2 linked regions of the Macaca mulatta genome follow. The protein of the gene in region 2 interacts with the protein of the main gene of each other region in a biochemical or structural test. Links are inferred from orthologs where the notes say so. Each region holds a gene or a part of one and is shown on either strand. Other genes may lie near its edges.

What was found. The genes of interacting proteins can lie anywhere in the genome.
Region 1: the proteins of ADRB2 (region 2) and GRK2 form a complex in vitro, tested with the Homo sapiens proteins (2 studies listed by BioGRID, with this or other methods). The link is inferred for Macaca mulatta from reciprocal best matches to the Homo sapiens genes ADRB2 and GRK2.

The regions. Positions count from the first base shown.
Region 1 is NC_133419.1:7,115,906-7,126,360, reverse strand, and holds the start of GRK2 (beta-adrenergic receptor kinase 1), read left to right. Parts: upstream 1-5,017; 5' UTR 5,018-5,359; coding exon 5,360-5,472; intron 5,473-6,327; exon of another isoform or gene 6,328-6,509; intron 6,510-10,455. UniProt on the Homo sapiens protein: Specifically phosphorylates the agonist-occupied form of the beta-adrenergic and closely related receptors, probably inducing a desensitization of them. Key regulator of LPAR1 signaling.
Region 2 is NC_133411.1:157,780,581-157,790,039, forward strand, and holds ADRB2 (beta-2 adrenergic receptor), read left to right. Parts: upstream 1-5,290; 5' UTR 5,291-5,330; coding exon 5,331-6,578; 3' UTR 6,579-6,610; downstream 6,611-9,459. UniProt on the Homo sapiens protein: Beta-adrenergic receptors mediate the catecholamine-induced activation of adenylate cyclase through the action of G proteins. The beta-2-adrenergic receptor binds epinephrine with an approximately 30-fold greater affinity than it does norepinephrine.

The sequences.
Region 1 (10,455 bases), on a different chromosome or scaffold from region 2:
CATGCGCGCTGGGCAAGGCTCCTGGCAGGCCGGGCGTGGCTCTGGGTTGAGGATGAGGGCGGGGGCGGGGGTTCGGGGACGGGGCCGGGCCCGCCAGCTCGCTGGGGCCCAGTCTAGGCAAAAACTCCGACGCGGAAGAGGACCTTGGATCCGGGGAAAGTGCGGAGACTGTGTGAACTTTCCAGAGAGTTCCAGGAGGAGGCGCTGCTCGTGGGAGGCGGGTCGAGGGGAGCTAGGGGTCTTGAAGCCCTGCCATGGTTGGTGGGCTGGCGCCTGCGGGCTGACAGCCCCCGCCCAAGGTCCCTGCCCTCTGCAGGAAAGAGCGAAGGGCCCGGGCGTCCTGGTGATGTTGGAGCCTCCCAGATAACCAGGGCCCTTTCTCTCTCGGGGCCTTTGCATCTACTGTTCCGCATACCTGAAAAGCTCTTTTCTCTGCCCCCAAAACAACTGCTTCTCTCCCATCCTCTGGCTCTGACAAAAACGCCCTGAGTTTTCCCTGACTTCCCCTGAGGAGGCTCCTGAGTCTTAGAACTTGTCGCGTGCCTCTTAGGGATGTTCCCGCTTTGGATGAGATCAGCTGGGCTCTGCAGTGCCCTGCACATAAGAGAATCCAATACCTGTCAGCGGCTGTTATCACGTATGGTTTGCCCATAAGCTCCCCGCCCGTGTCTTCCCATGTTGGATCCGCAAGGCCAAGCACAGGTGCCTGGCATGTAGTAGGAGCTCAACAAATACTGTCAAATAATCAAGTGAATGAATCAACTCCCAGCATCCCAGCCAGAGCCTTACACTTTCTGGGGACCCGACATCAGAGGAGTGGCTGTCCATGTTGGGGAAGAGTGTCCCCAGATCAATCTGGCACACACCTGCTGAGGTCAAGGGAGCCCCCAGCTCGCCCTCCTGCTCTGCAAAGCCCAGGCTGGAGGCGGAGAAAAGAGGTCTCAGCAGGACAAAACTCTCACTCCTGGGCCTTGGCACATGCCACTTCCAAACTGCTCACGCACACAATGTCATGTTCAAGACTTTACCCGACCCTCCCCGACCTTCTCCCGAGTGCCCTCACTTCCTTTTTTTTTTTTTTTTTTTTTTTTTGAGACGGAGTCTCGCTCTGTCGCCCGGGCTGGAGTGCAGTGGCCGGATCTCAGCTCACTGCAAGCTCCGCCTTCCAGGTTTACGACATTCTCCTGCCTCAGCCTCCCGAGTAGCTGGGACTACAGGCGCCCGCCATCTCGCCCGGCTAGTTTTTTTGTATTTTTTTTTTTAGTACAGACGGGGTTTCATCGTGTTAGCCAGGATGGTCTTGATCTCCTGACCTCGTGATCCACCCGTCTCGGCCTCCCAAAGTGCTGGGATCTCACTTCCTTAAACTATAGCTCTTGTCAGGTTAATTGGAGATATGTGTTTAGGTGTTTTCTTCCCCTACTAGACTAGGCTAACACGGAGTCTTGATTCTTTTTGCAGGCCTTACTTTGTGCTAGGGATGAGGGGTGCAGCAGTGACCAGGACAAACAGGGACGCCAAGGGAGAGACCTCTGAGCAGGAGCTCTTCCGCCCACAAGGTGGCAGCACGAGGAGGAGCCTGCCACTCCGGAAGTGGGGAAGGGCAGTCCAGGCAAGGGAACTGTAAAGCTAAGGCCCCAGAGGTGGAAATGGACTTGGCTTGTTCTAGTGACAGAAGGAAGACCAGAGAGGCTGGAGACTAAGAGGAAGGGGAAGGATGGAAATTGCCGAGTTAGAGAGATGGGCAGGGACCAGTCTGTGCAGATCTTACAGGCCACAGGAAGTGGGGTGGATTTTATCCTAAGTGCAGGGGCAGTCGTTGGGGGTGGGCTTTGATTTAGATCTATAGAAGCTCAACCTGCAGGAGCAGCAGGGCGTGCAGAGAGGAGGCTGGTGCAGGCATGCAGGCAAGAGGTGATTGAGACTCAGGCCAGGGTTTAGCAGGGCACAGTGGAAGGATCGAGGGTGTACTTCAGAGACAGATATGCCAGAGATGCTGTATGACAGCAGGGGTATACATGGGGGTAGGGGCCAGATGAGGGAAGAGAGGAATCGAGGACAGCTCCTAGATTTTGGGAAAATGGAGGATCCATGCTTGAGATGGGGAGGCGGGAGAGGAGCAGGTTGGACAGGGGCTGGGTAGTGGGAGCAAGAGCTCAGTGTGTGGGCCGCGCTAAGTTTGCAACATCTATTAGTCATCCAGTGGCGATGCCAAGTAATGATGTGTCTGTGGGGCTGCCAGCTGGGCGGAGATGGGGCTCCACTCCACTTTGCACTCCTAGCATCCTGGTCAGGAGCAGTCTAGGCACAGGACAAAGGTTTGTAGGGAGAAGAAATGCCTGACACTGACCTGCAAAGGCAATCGACCTTCCCAGGACCAACAGAGGACAGCACCATCCCCAAAACCAGTCTTCCCCAGGCCTGGGGCTCACACCAACCTCTTCTGAACCTGGGGCTTCCTGAAGTCACTTTTTCTGGGCCCAGGAATCAACGAAGGGAGACCAGCCCCCCTCAAAAGACCCCAGCTTCAGGCCTGGCAGGGGGTGTGGATTGGGCTGTGGGTGGGAGGGACTGAGTCTTTAGGTGGGAGTGGGAAGGTAAGGCCACCTCTTGGAACAGAATGGCTGGCATTTCAGAACGCACACACAGACTCTGGTCTGACAAGTTCATCAGGCAGAAGTTTTTAAATAGAGGTTATTCCCGAAAACCCTGGCTGACATGTGGCTGTGCTCACAGTCCAGAAGAGTCAGGACAGGGCAGTGGGGAGAGGAGGTTAGAGGCTTCAAGTTGTGGCATCTGGCCTTGTTCCACTCCAAACCCCATGTGCTCCAACAGCTCATTCACTCATTCATTCACTCCTCAAACATTGACGCCTTTGAGTCAGGTCCTGTGGTGGGCACTGGGAGCAAGGGATGAACTAGGAGCACCAGTGACAGTGGGGGACAGTATGTACTCTTTAAATATATATAACAGCATTTCCAACATCACGATGCATTTTCCAATTGATGCAGATATGTAATGAGACTTCACTCCCCACTCTCAAAACTTGCAATGATGCATCTTGCAATGATGCATCTTGCAACTGAAGATGGAAAATAGGGCCTAGAAGGTGGGAAGTGTAGAATTGGAGATGTACATAGTTGGGGTCAGGGAGTCAGGGAAGACTGCCGGGAGGAGGTGAGTCTTAGCGGATAAGTAGGAGTTGGCCAGGGAGGAAGGTACACAGAAGGGCTTCCAGGCCCAGGAAACAGCAGAGGCACAGAAGTGAGAATGGGTGGGTGAGTTGGTGGGGGAGCTCCAGGTGCAGAGGATGGTAGCAAAACAAACGGGAGCATCCAAGGTCCAAGTCCTCCAAGATCTTGACTTGCAGATTAAGGAGTTTGTTCACCTAACCTGCTTTGGGCAGAGTGGGGTGAGTCCTAGAGACCCCTCTAGGTCTCTCACTCTCAGTAGCCCCAGAAGGCCTGGAGAGCTGCTTCTTGGTGCCAAGCAGGCAGTGACTCCATCAGATCTAGACCTGGGAAAGGCATCTCTGGTCAGGGCCTGCATCAGGGCAGTGGCTGGCCATAGGACCCTGAGAAGTAGACAGATTCAAGGAGATTCTCAGGAGGCCAGACAGGAGACTATAGTGACAAATTAGAGAAGGGGAGAAAATGAAGGAGCAGTTAGGGAAAAGAAACCTGGGGCTCACCACTCACTGAGAGGAGAACCTCACTAGCTCTGATATGCTCTGGTTCCAGGTTCTGTTGGGACTGATCCAAGAAGGTAGCCTAGAAGTGCACAGAGATGGGAGCCTTGCTTTGCAAAAGGATCCTGGTTGCTGGCCCACAACATGGTAATGAGATTTGAGCTCTATGTGCCCAGGGCTGGGAGGAGGGTCCTATCACTTCAAAAGCAAAGAGAGGGTCTAGAGAGGGGCATGTTGAGATAGGACTGCTGCCTTGAGACACCTGGCTTTCCTCACTCTGGGTGGGCTCTCGGGTGGGTTTCCCCTACCAGGCAGCACTGAAACCTCTGTGCCCTCCCAGGCTGGGAGAGGTTTCACCCTACATGTGGAACCATCCTGAAGGAGCGTCTAGATGGGATGGGGTACACGGAAGGGAGCTGCCAAGAGTGCTGGCCAGGGACCTGGGTCTACGAGCCTGTTAGGGGGTGGGGTTGGGTGTAGGGTACTTGATCCAGAGTGGGCCTGCAGGGGCCAGGATTGGTTCTAGAGTAGGAGGGGTGGGATCGGGGATGGGGGAAGGCTGTAATTGGACTGTAGTTGTCAGATCCCAGGTTCTGGGTGACCTACTAAGGATTCTGGGTCCAATGTGGGTCCCAGGTTAGATGTCCTAGTCCCAAGTCTGTGTCCACAGTTCTGGGTGTTGAGCCTAGGACAGTGGTCTGGAGTTGATAGTCCAATCTAGGTCTGAGCCCTGACCCCAAGTCTAGGATGCAGGGTCATGGTAGTGGCCTAGGGTCAGAGTCAAGGTTGGGGTCAGTAACCAGGATGAGATCGAGGTCATGGTCCAAAATCTGGATCTGGGGAACTGTTAGGGGTCTGGGGTGAGTGTCACAGTCTGGGTATGGCGTTGGAGACCCAGGGCTGTGATCTGAGGTCATGGTTAGAGTCTGAGGTGGCGGGCAAAGGTTTGAGTCTGGGGTCCTGTTTGGAGTCTGGTGTCAGGTCGTGGACTGCGTCAAAGGTCAGGGAGTCTGGGGTTATAGCCAGGGTCTGAGATGAAAGCCCCGGGGTGGTGTTCAGAGGTCTGAATCTGTGTCTTGGTGAGCGTCCAGGTTCCTTGTGATCATGTCTGTTGTCAGGACCACGGCCTGACTGGAGAGCCTGGGATTCAGAGATGTGACCCGAGGTTGTGGTCAAGGAATGGGTCTGGGATCGTCTTCCGTGCCGGGTCCCTGTCTTGTTCCAGGCCCGGGTCTCCGTCCAGACCCGAGGTCACCGCCAGGATCTGAGCCCTCTGTCGCAGGTCTCCGCGCGGCCTCCAGGGGGCACCATCGCCCGCCCGGCTCGGCCACTTGCGGGCTCGCTGGCGCTGTGCGCGGCAGGCGGGGCCGGAGGCGGCGGCGGCTCCGGGGCGCGGGCGCGCGGGCGGCGGCGGCGGCGGCGGCGGCGCCCCGACTGCAGTCCCGGCGGGAGCGGAGCGCGAGCCGGGGCCGGGCCCGAGCCGGCGCCATGGGGCGGCGCCGCCTGTGAGCGGCGGCGAGCGGAGCCGCGGGCGCCGAGCGGGGCCAGGCGGGAGGCGTCGGCGCCCCAGGCCGACCGAGCCGCGGCCGGACCGGGCCGAGCGCCGAGCGAGCGGGAGCGGCGGCGGCGGCGGCGGCGGCGGCGGCGGGAGGAGGCAGCGCCGCCGCCAAGATGGCGGACCTGGAGGCGGTGCTGGCCGACGTGAGCTACCTGATGGCCATGGAGAAGAGCAAGGCCACGCCGGCCGCGCGCGCCAGCAAGAAGATCCTGCTGCCCGAGCCCAGGTGAGGAGAAGTCGCCCGCGGCCCCGGCCCGACCCCGCGGGCACCCCGGCCGCGACTCCGAGACCCTGGCCCCACACTCGACCCCGCGACTTGGACCCCCGGGGCCGGCTCTCGCGACCCTCTGTCGGCCCCCGAGCCCGGAGCAGCCCGGCCGTGGCGCCTGCGGGTCCAGACGCTAAGCCCCAGACCCCGGGCGCCTGAGCCCGGAGCGCCCCAACTCCGGAGCTCCTCTGCCCCTTCGGCCCCCGGGCCCGCTCCGGTCCCGCCGGCCGCCCTGCTGCTTCCTTATCGCGTTCCGCCGGCCCCCCGCTCCAGTCGCTGTCAGCCCCTAGCTCCCGCCTTCTCCCACAGGGGCCCGGCGCGCCCCTTCATCCTCCTCCGAGCAGCCCTTGGTCCCTGTGGGGTCCCTTCCCCTCCGCCGGCCACCATTTACCTCGCCTGACGATGTCACCCACCCTTTTGCTGTCCCTGCTCACGGCACCCGCCTTGGGGTTTCCACTACCCCCACCCGTCTCCCCTCCAGTCTACACTTGTGTGAGGTGTGGGGGGACAGCCAGTTTTCCGGACTCTTCTCCCACCCTCTGGTGGAGTCGCTATCCTGTAGTTGGGCTTGAGAGTGCTTTCGGGGCGGCGTGGTGAGCAGGACCTAGGGTGCTGCGGACGCCCTCCCCCTCGGACCGCGCTCAGGTGGGGGAAACATGCCGTGCCCTCTCCCCCACATTCCTTCTCGGGCGTGCACTGCATATGGTGCCCGGTGGGTGCTGTTGACCAGGGGCCCTCCCAGCACACTGGCAACAGCTGGACCTTAGCTGCCGCCCCTGTAAGACAACTGACATCACACCTGGTATCAAAGTTTAGACTGTTCAGGATGTAGGTGCAAAAGTACACAGGATGTGGACGATTGCTGCGGTTTGTCCAGCTCTTTATGGCTGATGGAGTATCTCTCCACTGTGTGAGCCTCTCAGCAGCGAATGGGGTGGCCAGGACAGGTGTGGTTTTGTCCCTGTGGAACAGGTGGGGAAACTGAAGCTCCAGAGGTGAGTGGCCTGCGCCAAGTCACACAGGTAGTCTCAGGTGGCACCTGGCCAACAGATCAGGGCTTCAGACTTCCGGTTCTACATTTCATTGGCTGCCCTGGCCTGCGCCAGGGAGCAGATGTGCCCGCCACGGTCCTTTGTGTCGTGTGGCAACTCCTCGTGCATGCCTGAGAGTTAGCCTCCTGGTGCCCCAGCAGGCTGGGAATGGGGCCTGTCCACACTGCCGTGGTCTTATCTTGTGACTGTGGGCAAGTCCCTTCCCTCACTGGGCCTCAGTCTTCTCATCTGTGAAATGTGGATGGCGTGAAATAAGAGTTGTGACTCTGTGATGTCCCTCAGCCTTTGAAGTGTCTGTCTAAGCCTGGGCTGACGCTGCAGGGGTGCCATGCCCATGGCCCTCACCGGCCCCCTCTGCCATGCCCTGCTCACTGGGTGTTTGGATTGACTGAACGTCAGGCCGGGGAGAGGAAAATTGGTCTGCATTCTGAAAAGGCCGTTAGGGCCTTTTTTTTCTAAGATATTTGCAATCAGATTTCTCAAAACAGGAACCAGACTGACTGTCAGCTGGGGGCTGTCCAGGGAGCAGTGACGGTTAGTGCAGAAATGAGTTCAGAAATGACAAACCCACGAGGGAGGAAATGGGGGAGTCAGCCTCTAGGGCTCAAAACGGCTCTCCTTCGTGGCCGCAGCTTTGAGACCCTCCTGCAGGATGGAGTTCGGCAATGTGTGAGGTGGGACCTTTTCTGGAACTGTCTGCGTTCGTGTACTTTTCCCCCCAGAATGCATTGCTTCTGATGGGGTGCCGCCTTGGCTCTGCAGGTGTCAGAACCCGGAGAAACGAGATGTTCTTCTTTTCCTGTCCCCTTTCCCATCCACAGCAGTGATGGCGATGATAGCAATAATGATAGGAGTTATTACTGACTTACCTGTTTTGACATCTGTCCTCTCAATTCTTCAACCAACCTGTGAAGCTGGCAAGGCCATGCCTTGCATGTAGTAGTTGCCCAAGAAATACCAGGACTGTGTGACGCCCCAGGCAGTCCTGAGCAGAAACAAGGTTGGATAGGATTCTAGGAGGACAGCAGGAGGCGGAGCCAGGCAGCCCAGGTTTTCACATTGGGTCACCATCAGCAGCATGGCCTTCCGCAAATTGCCCACATCTGTGAAATGGACTGGAGGTGCGAGCGCCGAATGTCAGTGTGCTAAGGCCTGGGAAGGGCTATGGGCCACCCCTACATGGGGGTCCAGGCCTGGGGCATTAGGGAGCAAGCCACCCTTTGCATAATGCCTTGCCTTGCACACCCAGTGGGGCAGAGCGCACCCCCCGCCGCCCCGATGGTGATCCTGACCACGTCTCATGTTTGCCCGACACTTTTCCGTTTGCAGAGTGCTTTTTACTCCATTTTGTCCTTTTGACAACTGTGGGAGGCAGGCCCAGCAGATGGGATTCTCCCCTTTAGCAGTTGAAGTCATTGAGGCTCAGGGAGGGGAGGAGTCGTGTTCTCGTCACAGAAGAAAGCTGGAATGGGGCCTCAGGTTTCTGGACCACACAGGCCAGTGCTGTTTCTCTGCTGTGCTTTATCCCCTCCACCCACCCCTGCACACCACTGTTCTCACCCCTGTCCACATTTTGCGGCGTGGGCTGACTGGCACCGCTTGTCTGGGGCCATTGGCTGTCACAGTTCACAAGGCTCAGCCCCCTTCCTGTTGGCTGGGATGGAGAATTGAGCTGCCCTGGCAAAGCTACTGCCTCGAGGGGCAGCTCCACTCCGGGGTCCCATCAGATGCAGGAGCCTGTCTTCCCCATACCCCCAAGGTCAAGGTCAGAGTCAGGGAGAGGGGCTGTGGCTTGTCCCCGTGACAGGGTGCCTCTGGGAATTGTTCACACCTTGAGGTGGCCCACCTTGGCAGTCCCTCCATGGCTGGTGCCTGGGGATGTGGCTTGGCCGAGAGCTGGGGCTGGCATCACAGCTCTGAGTTCCAATGCCTAGGGAATGGGAGTGGTTAGGCACAGTGCCACATTGAGTTGGTACAGGGGCCTCCCCTTCTGTCACCCTATAGAATCCGAGGAAACAGTCCCTTTCCCCGACCTTCTTCTAGAAGGAGGCAGCGTAAGGCAGCATTGTGTATCTGGAGGATGGGAGACCTGGCTTCTCCCTCTACCACCAGCCCACATGGGACCCAGGCCAGTCCCTTAGCCTGACTGGGCCTGCCTCGTTTTCCACCTTGGTAAATTTAGGGGGCTGCCCCTTCACTCTCAGGGTCTGTGGTCTGGACCTTGCCCTGAAGGAACTGCCGTCTCCCTTTCCCGGCAGCCAGCAGTCTTGTAATTTTCATCATTTGCTTGATATGACCACTGAGGCCTGGTGTAATTAATCTCTGGGCTCCTAGCTGAGGAGCCCTGCCTGGGCGCTCCCAGGAGGTTCCTCTGCCCTCCCCAGTGACAGTGGCAGCCCCAGCAGCAGATTGTCAGAGCCAGGTGCCTCTTGCAGCCTCCCGATTTCTTGGCTGTTTCCTGGTCCCTCCCCACCGAGAGTTTCCTCCTTCCTGCCCCTTTCTGGCTTCCCTGTCTCCCCAGACCCTGCCCCTGTTCCTCCGCTGCCTCGTTCCTGTTAACTCTTTGCAGCCAGAACTTCCTGCCCTTGATTTGTGGGGGAAGGAGTGCAGCGGGAAGCTTTTTCCCTCCCTCCTTCCTCCACTCCTGCGGCACCAGCTGCAACCCTGCTGCTTCCAGCCTTTGTCCCTTACCCAGAACTTTCCACTTCAGTGGCAGCATTCTCCTGACTCCTTTCCCTGAAAACAAGATGATCTTTCTTGCAGTCTCTCCCTCTGGGCCTTTGAAGCCCCCCCGTTCCCCAGGAATGGGTCTCTGGGATGTGTTTCTCATCTGCTTTCCTTTCCAGAGCATGGGTTTCACTTATTTGCCGTTAAGTCACCCGCCTGCCGTTACCTGGATAAATGGATTTGAAGGGAGTGTGAGCAATGCAGATTGGAATCTGTGCAGGGGAATTTGGGCTGTTAACCCAGAATGAGGTGTCCTATTAATGCACAATCAATTCCTAGTAGTAAGTTCCCGGTGACGTCAGGTGCAGGCGTGCTCCGCAGCCAGCATCTCCTCCCCGTGCCTAGGTTGCACCCAGGTGGGCTTGGCAGAGGGGTTGAGTGCTCAGGCTAGTGGGTTCGGGTTGGCTTGGCTGTTGCTTTCAGGATTATGCTCTTGCCTCAGAACACATAGCAGGAACCAAAAGCACAGTGTTGCCCTTGAGGACGCACAGCCTCCCTCACACCTGCCCCTTTTTCCCAAGCCCCTTCCCTACTCTCCTTCGGCTCCCCATAGGTCAGTTTCCGCTGCTGGATGGAGCTATATTCACGTTATTTCTACTTTGCTGCAACTGAGATACTAAAAATGAGATGTTTGTCTGCAGCTTTTTTCTAAAACAATAATATCCCTTCTCTGCTTTGCTGCTTACTGCAAAGGGCCACGTCTATGCTGGCAGAAGTGGGTTTTCTGGTATTAACATGTTGGCAGCTCTGTTCCCAGTTAGGGGCAATTTTCTGACTCTAGAGCCATCTCGTGTTTGTGATGGGGGACAACCCCCTCCTGGGAACCACAGGGCACAGAGTTCTGGAAGTTTGTTCTTGGTGCATTCTAGCGTGATGCAGATTACGGTCTCCATGTCGGCAGTAAATTGCAGGGTGTGGGTGCTCATGTCATATTTGTGAAGAAGCCGTGACATTTGACAAGGCCGCCAGAGTGCCTCTTCCCCAGCATCCCGCAAGGGAGCTGCTTTGTGGCCGACGCAACGTTCCGGAGCCCGGGCTGTGTGCCGGGCCAGCTGGCTTTTTCTCTCCACTGCTCAGGGCTTGCCTTGGACTGATGGTTTGGGCTGGTCTTTCCTATTTGGTCTGTGGCCCCATCCTTGAGCTCTGAGGATGTTGTTGGCCC
Region 2 (9,459 bases):
AAAGAACTCTTGTCTAAGACAAGACCCAGTATAAGATTTTCCTAACCCATATGGCTGTTGGTGTGAGGGCATGCTCTGGCACCATGGAACCTTACTCCTATTCAAACATTCATTAGGTAAATCCAAATGTGAGGTTTTATTCCTGTTTGACAGGCAGGAAACGACAAATCAGTGTCTTAAGGGATTGACAAAACATGTAATTAGATGCTATCAATCACCATAAAAGAGCCTGCTTTTTCTTACATCAGATAAAGGTGCATTTAGTCTACTAAGAGCTTTCCAGTTCAAATGAAGCATTAACTCTCTAAGGTCACATGAACAGTAAGCAGGGTTACTTGAACTCCTCTGCTGGGAAATAAAATAACAGCATTAGGCAGGGAAAACTTGTGAGGCCATGAGCAGACCTGGACTCCTAATTTTCCTTAACACTTTGGCCTGGACACTTCTTGTTTTTTCACTTCAGTAACCTCACTGGCAAACTTGGGGGAAATAAACTAAATAATGTATTAAGCTCTTTCCCAGTCTAACTTTCTCTAAACCTATAATCACAAAAGGAGGTCAGGAGAAAAGACTCTTAGTCAGCAGACTACATCTTGACATTTCTACCAGCTTGGTGAAACAGCAGGGAGAGAGTGCACATCCATTCATCAAGGCTGGAGGGCAAAGGCCCAGAACTTCCTAATTGATATAAGCAGGTTCTCCTTCTTTTTTGATTATTATTATACTTTAAATTCTGGGATACATGTGCAGAACATGCAGGTCTGTTACATAGGTATACACGTGCCATGGTGGTTTGCTGCACTCATCAACCCGTCATCTACATTAGGTATTTCTCCTAATGCTATCCCTTCCCTAGGCCCCCACCCCCAGACAGGCCCTGGTGTGTGATGTTCCTCTCCCTGTGTCCAAGTGTTCTCATTGTTCAACTCCCACTTATGAGTGAGAACATGAAGTGCTTGGTTTTCTGTTCCTGTGTTAGTTTGCTGAGAATGATGATTTCCAGCTTCATCCATGTCCCTGCAAAGAGCCTGAACTCACCCTTTTTTATGGCTGCATAGTATTCCATGGTGTATATGTGCCACATTTTCTTTGTCAAGTCTATTATTAATGGGCATTTGGGTTGGTTCCTAGTCTTTGCTATTGTGAACAGTGCTGCAATAAACATATGTGTCCATGTGTCTTTATAGTAGAATGATTTATAATCCTTTAGGCATATACCCAGTAATGGGATTGCTGGGTCAAATGTTATTTCTTGTTCTAGATCCTTAAGGAATTGCCACATTGTCTTCCACAATGGTTGAACTAATTTACATTCCCACCAACAGTGTAAAAGTGTTCCTATTTCTCCACATCCTCTCCAGCACCTATTATTTCCGACTTCTTTTTTTTTTTTTTTTTTTGAGATGGAGTCTCACTCTGTCGCCCAGGCTGGAGTGCGGTGGCACAATCTCAGCTCACTGCAACCTCCACCTCCCAGGTTCAAGCGATTCTCCTGTCTCGGCCCCAGAGTAGCTGAGACTACAGGGGTGCCACAACTTCTGGCTAATTTTTGTATTTTTATTAGAGACGAACTTTCACCGTGTTGGTCAGGCTGCTCTCGAACTCCTGACCTTAAGTGATCCACCCGCCTCAGCCTCCCAAAGTGCTGGGATTACAGGCGTGAGCCACCGTGCCCTCCCTGTTTCCTGTTTTAATGATGGCCATTGTATCTGGTGTGAGATGGTATTTCATTGTGGTTTTGATTTGCATTTCACTAGTAACTAGTGTTGATGAGCTTTTTTTCATATGTTTGTTGGCTGCATAAATGGTTTTTTTTGAGAAGGATCTGTTCATATCCTTTGCCCAATTTTTGATGGGGTTGTTTGTTTTTTCTTGTAAATTTGTTTACGTTCTTTGTAGATTCTAGATATTAGCCCTTTGTCAGATGAGTAGATTGCAAACATTTTCTCCCATTCTGTAGGTTGCCTCTTCACTCTGACGACAGTTTCTTTTGCTGTGCAGAAGCTCTTTAGTTTAATTAGATCCCATTTGTCAATTTTGGCTTTTGTTGCCATTGCCTTTGGTGTTTTAGCCATGAAGTGTTTGCTCATGCCTATGTCCTGAATAGCATTGCCTAGGTTTTCTTCTAGGGTTTTTATGGTTTTAGGTCTTACGTTTAAGTATTTAATTCATCTTGAGTTAATTCTTGTATAAAGTTTAAGGAAGGGGTGCAGTTTCAGTTTTCTTCATATGGCTAGCCAGTTCTTGATTTAGCATTTGTGGGTTTTAAAAAAGGAGTTTCCCAAAATATTCAGTTAAACTTTTAAGTGATTTATGTGTATATTTAAATACATGATCAGTTAATATTTGTCTTAAAGGGGTTTTCTTTGTTCTTTTCTTATTATAGGAAGGTTAAACAATATGCTTATTTATGCCATAGCTTCACAAACAGGAAGGAGGTTTTAAATCGTTTAGTTCCACAATTTGAGTAGATGTGTATTTAAAGAAACGTTGTTGCATAACAAATACTGCCTCTTCCTAAAATGCATCATGCCAGAGCCAATTTTGGAAAACACAAATATGAGGTGAGTATATTTTGAAAACTATGTGAATATAATAGATCCTTAATTAATATTTGTGGATTTTATCGGAAATACTTGTTTTCTAAGGCATCTGTCTTGCAAAAAGTCAGTTTCTGCTGTGAAGGATGTTAAAGGGGACATGTAGGTTAAATTCTGTTTCTGAGTTTTGCTTCCAGAGTAAACACCCAACTTACTTTTGCCCTAAAGTATTTTATTGTTCTAGTAGAGAAGACTAACAATATATTCTAAACCGCTAAGTAATTTACATAAACTTCACTTACAAACTGTATTTGTGTGACACTTATATGAGCAAAAGCATTTTCATATTTCTTACTATATTATTCAATTCTTGCTCACCCCAATGGAAGAGACTTTATGCCCCTTTAGAGATAATGGAAATTAGGTACTTTTGATTTCTCTTAGAAAAAAAAATGAACTAGAAAGCTCCAAGTTTGGTGAATCTGGAACGTGGGTATTCCAATTCCAGTTGTAGTGCTTCCTCCCTGTCCATCACTCCTGTCTGCATGTAATTATGCAATACATTGAAAAGATTAAAAGATGGGTCTTAGACTCAGGCAGACCTGGGTCAAATCCAGATTCTGGCACAGCCCAGCCATTGCCCCTGGGAAGGCCATTTTCCTCTTCGAACCTCACTTGTTAATTAAGCTAAAAATAGTCCCCACCCCCATGGGACTGTGGGAAGGATTAAATAGAATAATGCATGAAAAGCACATAGCAGAATGGTCCATAAATGTTAGCCATTGTTATGTTATTATGTAATCTGCAAAGTATGTTTAGTTACACTTCATGAAATAGTTTCAGTTTTTCAAAGACACCACTAATACATGGGAAATCAAACCCTGAAAATTAATTTCACTTTAGCAGTAAAGTCACATGCCAGATGCAAAGGATAGTATTTCATGAACAAAGATCTTACTTTTGAGGTTTGGTCTTACTTTTTTTATTTCATAAGGAAGAAATATATATATATATATTTATATATTTGGTTTTTATTTATTTGTATATTTATTTATAATTTGTATTTATATATTTATATATTTGTTTATATATATATATTTATATTTGTTATTTATTTATTTATTTATTTTTTTGAGATGGAGTCTTGCTCTGTCACCCAGGCTGAAGTGCAGTGGCACGGTCTCGCCTCACTGCAACCTCCACCTCCCAGGTTCAAGTGATTCTCCTGTCCCAGCCTCCCGAGTAGCTAAGACTACAAGTGCCCGCCTGGCTAATTTTTGTATTTTTAGTAGAGACAGAGTTACACCATATTGGCCAAGATCTTTTGCTTTCTATAGCTCCAAATGTTCTTAATGTTAAGACACTCTTAAGACTCTGAACCATATGAATTTGCCATTTTGGTAAGTCACAGACGCCAGATGGTGGCAATTTCATATGGTGCAACCCGAAAGATTAACAAACTATCCAGCAGATGAAAGGAATTTTTTAGTTGCATTGGGATTACTGAAGAAATTGTTTGAATTCTCAGTGCATCTCCAGTTCAACAGATAATGAGGGAGTGATGCCACACTCTCAAGAGTTAAAAACAAAACAACAACAAAAAAATTAAAACAAAAGTACACAACTTTCTCTCTCCGTCCCGAAATACATACATGCATACTCCTGCTCCAGGTGAAATCCAAAGGGTAAAACTGTCTTCATGCCTGCAAATTCCCAAGGAGGGCACCCAAAGTACTTGACAACGAGTGTGCTGAGGAAATCGGCAGCTGTTGAAGTCACCTCCTGTGTGCTCTTGCCAAATGTTTGAAAGTGAATATACTGGGTTACCGGGTGTATGCTGGGAGGGGGGCATTAGCAGTGCTTGGGTGAGGGAAGTTTGTGAGTACCCAGATGGAGACATCCGTGTCTGTGTCGCTCTGGATGCCTCCAAGCCAGCGTGTGTGTTTACTTTCTGTGTGTGTCACCATGCCTTTGTGCTTCTGGGTGCTTCTGTGTTTGTTTGTGGCCGCGTTTCTGTGTTGGACAGGGGTGACTTTGTGCCTGACAGCTTCTGTGTGAGCGCGCGCGCGAGTGTGCATGTCGGTGAGCCGGGAGGGTGTGTCTCAGTGTCTATAGCTGTGGTTCCGTATAAGTCTGAGCATGTCTGCCGGGGTGTATTTGTGCCTGTATGTGCGTGCCTTGGTGGGCACTCTCGTTTCTCTCCGAATGTGGGGCAGTGCCGGTGTGTGCTGCCCTCTGCCCTGAGACCTCAGGCCGCGCAGGCGCCCAGGGCAGGCAGGTAGCGGCCACAGAAGAGCCAAAAGCTGCTGGGTTGGCTGGTAAGCACGCCAGCTCCAGCTTTAGCCCTCTGGGGCCAGCCAGGGTAGCCGGGAAGGAGTGGTGGCCCGCCCGCCGGGGAGCAGCTGGGCCCCTCCCGGGCCAGCCCGAGCAGAGGGAGGGCGAGAGGAGGGGAGGAAAGGGGATGGGTGCCTCGCCCCTTCGGGCCTGCCGGCGTGCCATTGGCCGAAAGTTCCCTTACGTCACGGCGAGGGCAGTTCCCCTAAAGTCCTGTGCACATAACGGGCAGAGCGCACTCCGAGGCGGCTTCTCCAGAGCACAGGCTGGAATTGGCGGGCACCGCGAGCCCCTGGCACCCGACAAGCTAAGTGTACAAGACGTGTCCCCACCACACCCACCCCACGGCCGCTGAATGAGGCTTCCAGGAGTCCGCTCGCGGCCCGCAGAGCCCCGCCGGGGGTCCGCCCGCTGAGGCGCCTGCAGACAGTGCGCTCACCTGCCAGACTGCGCGCCATGGGGCAACCCGGGAACGGCAGCGCCTTCTTGCTGGCACCCAACGGAAGCCATGCGCCGGACCACGATGTCACGCAGGAACGGGACGAGGCGTGGGTGGTGGGCATGGGCATCGTCATGTCTCTCATCGTCCTGGCCATCGTGTTTGGCAATGTGCTGGTCATCACAGCCATTGCCAAGTTCGAGCGTCTGCAGACGGTCACCAACTACTTCATCACTTCACTGGCCTGTGCTGACTTAGTCATGGGCTTGGCAGTGGTGCCCTTTGGGGCCGCCCATATTCTCATGAAAATGTGGACTTTTGGCAACTTCTGGTGCGAGTTTTGGACTTCCATTGATGTGCTGTGCGTCACAGCCAGCATTGAGACCCTGTGCGTGATCGCAGTGGATCGCTACTTTGCCATTACTTCACCCTTCAAGTATCAGAGCCTGCTGACCAAGAATAAGGCCCGGGTGATCATTCTGATGGTGTGGATCGTGTCAGGCCTTACCTCCTTCTTGCCCATTCAGATGCACTGGTACCGGGCCACCCACCAGGAAGCCATCAACTGCTATGCCAAGGAGACCTGCTGTGACTTCTTCACGAACCAAGCCTATGCCATTGCCTCCTCCATCGTGTCCTTCTACGTTCCCCTGGTGATCATGGTCTTCGTCTACTCCAGGGTCTTTCAGGAGGCCAAAAGGCAGCTCCAGAAGATTGACAAATCTGAGGGCCGCTTCCATGCCCAGAACCTTAGCCAGGTGGAGCAGGATGGGCGGACAGGGCATGGACTCCGCAGATCTTCCAAGTTCTGCTTGAAGGAGCACAAAGCCCTCAAGACGTTAGGCATCATCATGGGCACTTTCACCCTCTGCTGGCTGCCCTTCTTCATCGTTAACATTGTGCATGTGATCCAGGATAACCTCATCCCTAAGGAAGTTTACATCCTCCTAAATTGGGTGGGCTATGTCAATTCTGGTTTCAATCCCCTTATCTACTGCCGGAGCCCAGATTTCAGGATTGCCTTCCAGGAGCTTCTGTGTCTGCGCAGGTCTTCTTTGAAGGCCTGTGGGAATGGCTACTCCAGCAACAGCAATGGCAACACAGGGGAGCAGAGTGGATATCACCTGGAACAGGAGAAAGAAAATAAACTGCTGTGTGAAGACCTCCCAGGCACGGAAGACTTTGTGGGCCATCAAGGTACTGTGCCTAGCGATAACATTGATTCACAAGGGAGGAGTTGTAGTACAAATGACTCACTGCTGTAAAGCAGTTTTTCTACTTTTTAAGACCACCCCCCCCCAACAGAACACTAAACAGACTATTTAACTTGAGGGTAATAAACTTAGAATAAAATTGTATAGAGATATGCAGGAGGAGGGGCATCCTTCTGCCTTTTTTATTTTTTTAAGCTGTAAAAAGAGAGAAAACTTATTTGGTGATTATTTGTTATTTGTACAGTTCAGTTCCTCTTTGCATGGAATTTGTAAGTTTATGTCTAAAGGGCTTTAGTCCTAGAGGACCTGAGTCTGCTATGTTTTCATGACTTTTCCATGTATCTACCTCACTATTCAAGTATTAGGGGTAATATATTGCTGCTGGTAATTTGTATCTGAAGGAGATTTTCCTTCCCACACCCTCGGACTTGAGGATTTTGAATATCTCGGACCTTTCAGCTGTGAACATGGACTCTTCCCCGCTCCTCTTATTTGCTCACACGGGGTATTTTAGGCAGGGATTTGAGGAGCAGCTTCAGTTGTTTTCCTGAGCAAAGTCTAAAGTTTACAGTAAATAAATTGTTTGACCATGCCTTCATTGCACCTGTTTCTCCAAAACCCCTTGTCTGGAGTGCCATTGCCTCCCCGACTGGAAACCACAGGTAACTACTTGTAATAACTGCCCATGACTTAATGTAGAATGATACAAGAATGACATGCACAGATTGCTTAACCCTTTCATTTGCCTTTGAATCTGCTGCTGCAAAGCTGCATCTCTCCTGACACTCATGCCCCAAATCAGTTCTGCCTGCTCTTAGTATAGCTCAACTCTCCCTATGGTTATTGTTCTGTGTTGTTACCTCGGAAACACTGACTCACAGAAGCGGAGTTATGGGCATATGTTTTTTTTCTCTCCACGCGCCCCCACCACCCACCTTCCAGTTCTACTTGTTTCATAACTGTTTATATTTATGTCTTGGCCATGTGTTATAGTGGAGCTCTTTGTACTGCATCAGGGCTTGGCATTTTAGGGATAAGGAAGATGTTCTTGTGAGGAAGCTACTCGAACATGGCCCCGTAATTCCGAGGGAAAATTAAAAAGGCATTGGTCATGGGGAGAAAAACTGGAGAACACATAACTGATGGATACCACGTGACCTAGAAATAGAATTTTAACCCCTTTTCCTTCTTTCCTTTGGTCCCTGTTTTCTTCTCCCACTGACTCTCCTCGGTTCAGTATAAACCAAGGTTCTGAGTCTTGGCACTGTTAGCATTTTGGACCAGATAACTCTTTGTTGTGAGGGCTGCATCATTGGATGTTTAGCACCTCTGGCCTCTATTCATTAGATGCCAGGAGCATCCCCTGCTTATAACAGGCAAAAATGTTTCCAGATATTGCAAAAGAGCCCCTGAGGTGTGAATTAGCCCCTGATTGAGAGTCACTGGTAGAAACTAAAAATCTCAGCAGATATATACATTCTTTCTGCAAGCACTTGATTGTGCCGAGCCTTGGAGAGGGATTTTCACAGTTCACCTAGGCAGTAACACACCCTCATCAGCACTCTTTCCATTCCATCATGCTGCCTCCTAAACTTGCTTTCTAGCTGCCCAAATAGTGACCCTGAAGTGTTAAGAAGGCTTCAGGTCTGTACATGAATTGTCAATGGAGGTGAGGCCTGTGGCCCATGGCTCCTGCTTGTGAAGAGATTAGAATACTGTCAAGAGGCACGTTAGGGGAAATCACAAAAGTAAACACATTTCTTCTCCCAGCCCCTTTCTATTTTTGCCTGTGTGTCTGAGCCAGAGCTTGGCCCAGGTTTGATGAAGTGGATCGTCCTCCTTGGCAACGCCAGGCTAGGGCAGATCGGCCTACAGGGTTCATTGCCATTTCACTGGCTCATGAAGCTGACTCCACTCCTCTCTTCCTTTCTATCCCAGCCAAGGTCCCCAACCAGAAAAGCATTGGCCTTCTCTGCTTCCTGTCAGCTCAATGATGGGACGTTTGGGTGAGCACTGAGCTCTCAGGAGAATGTTAGGCGCCTGTGATTTTGGAACATGCCGTGGCAAATTGGGGAATGTGTGTCATTCGGTGCTTTCACTTTTTTCCAAGGGTTTGCATACCTATTATCACATTCTCTCTCTACTGCTCTGGTCCCCACACTCAGAGATTTGGGCAGCTTCTTTGGCTAATCTTCATACTCCCGGTAGCCTCATAAAATCTCAGACATGGAAGAGCCCATAGAAAGTATTTAACATCTGAAGAGACTGAAACGCTGTGAGGCGAAGGGCTTGCCCAAGGTAAGCAGCCAAGGATGTCAGAGTGGGAACTCAAGCCAGGGAACCCAACTGCTATTCCAGGAACTGCTGCATTCTCTCCACCACATTAGCATTGAGTTCTTTCCTCACCCTCAACTGGGGCTATAACATAACACATTCATTTCGGCCAAGGTATTTTTCTTTTGTCCTTAACACAAAATTTGGAGCATAAACAAATAATCTGCAATAGGAACAAAAGAAACAATTGCTCATTTAACTCAGCAAGAGTCCACTAAGATATCTTCTGCATTTAGGGAAGCTGGGAGATTCCTTAGCCCTTTATAACCAAATGTCAGTGTTGTATATATACTCCTTTGCCTAAAGGAATGTCTAATGTAATTTCTGTGAAAAATTCAGGTATTAATATTAATTCAGATTCCCAGCTAAAAGGAGAGTTTAACCATATTCACATTCCTTTACGAATATTGTAAGCACAAGAACTTTGATTAGTTTTAAGGGTCCTGATAAGCAAGAGTATTCTAGCCATATCTTAATCCTTTACTTTCTACCTCTTTGGTGTGTTGCTTTGTTTCTTTTGAGGGGTTGGCTTTTGTTGGTGTCCCTTTGTCTCTCTGTTGCTGACAAGTTGGCTACCTAAAATTTGTGTTGTATTCAT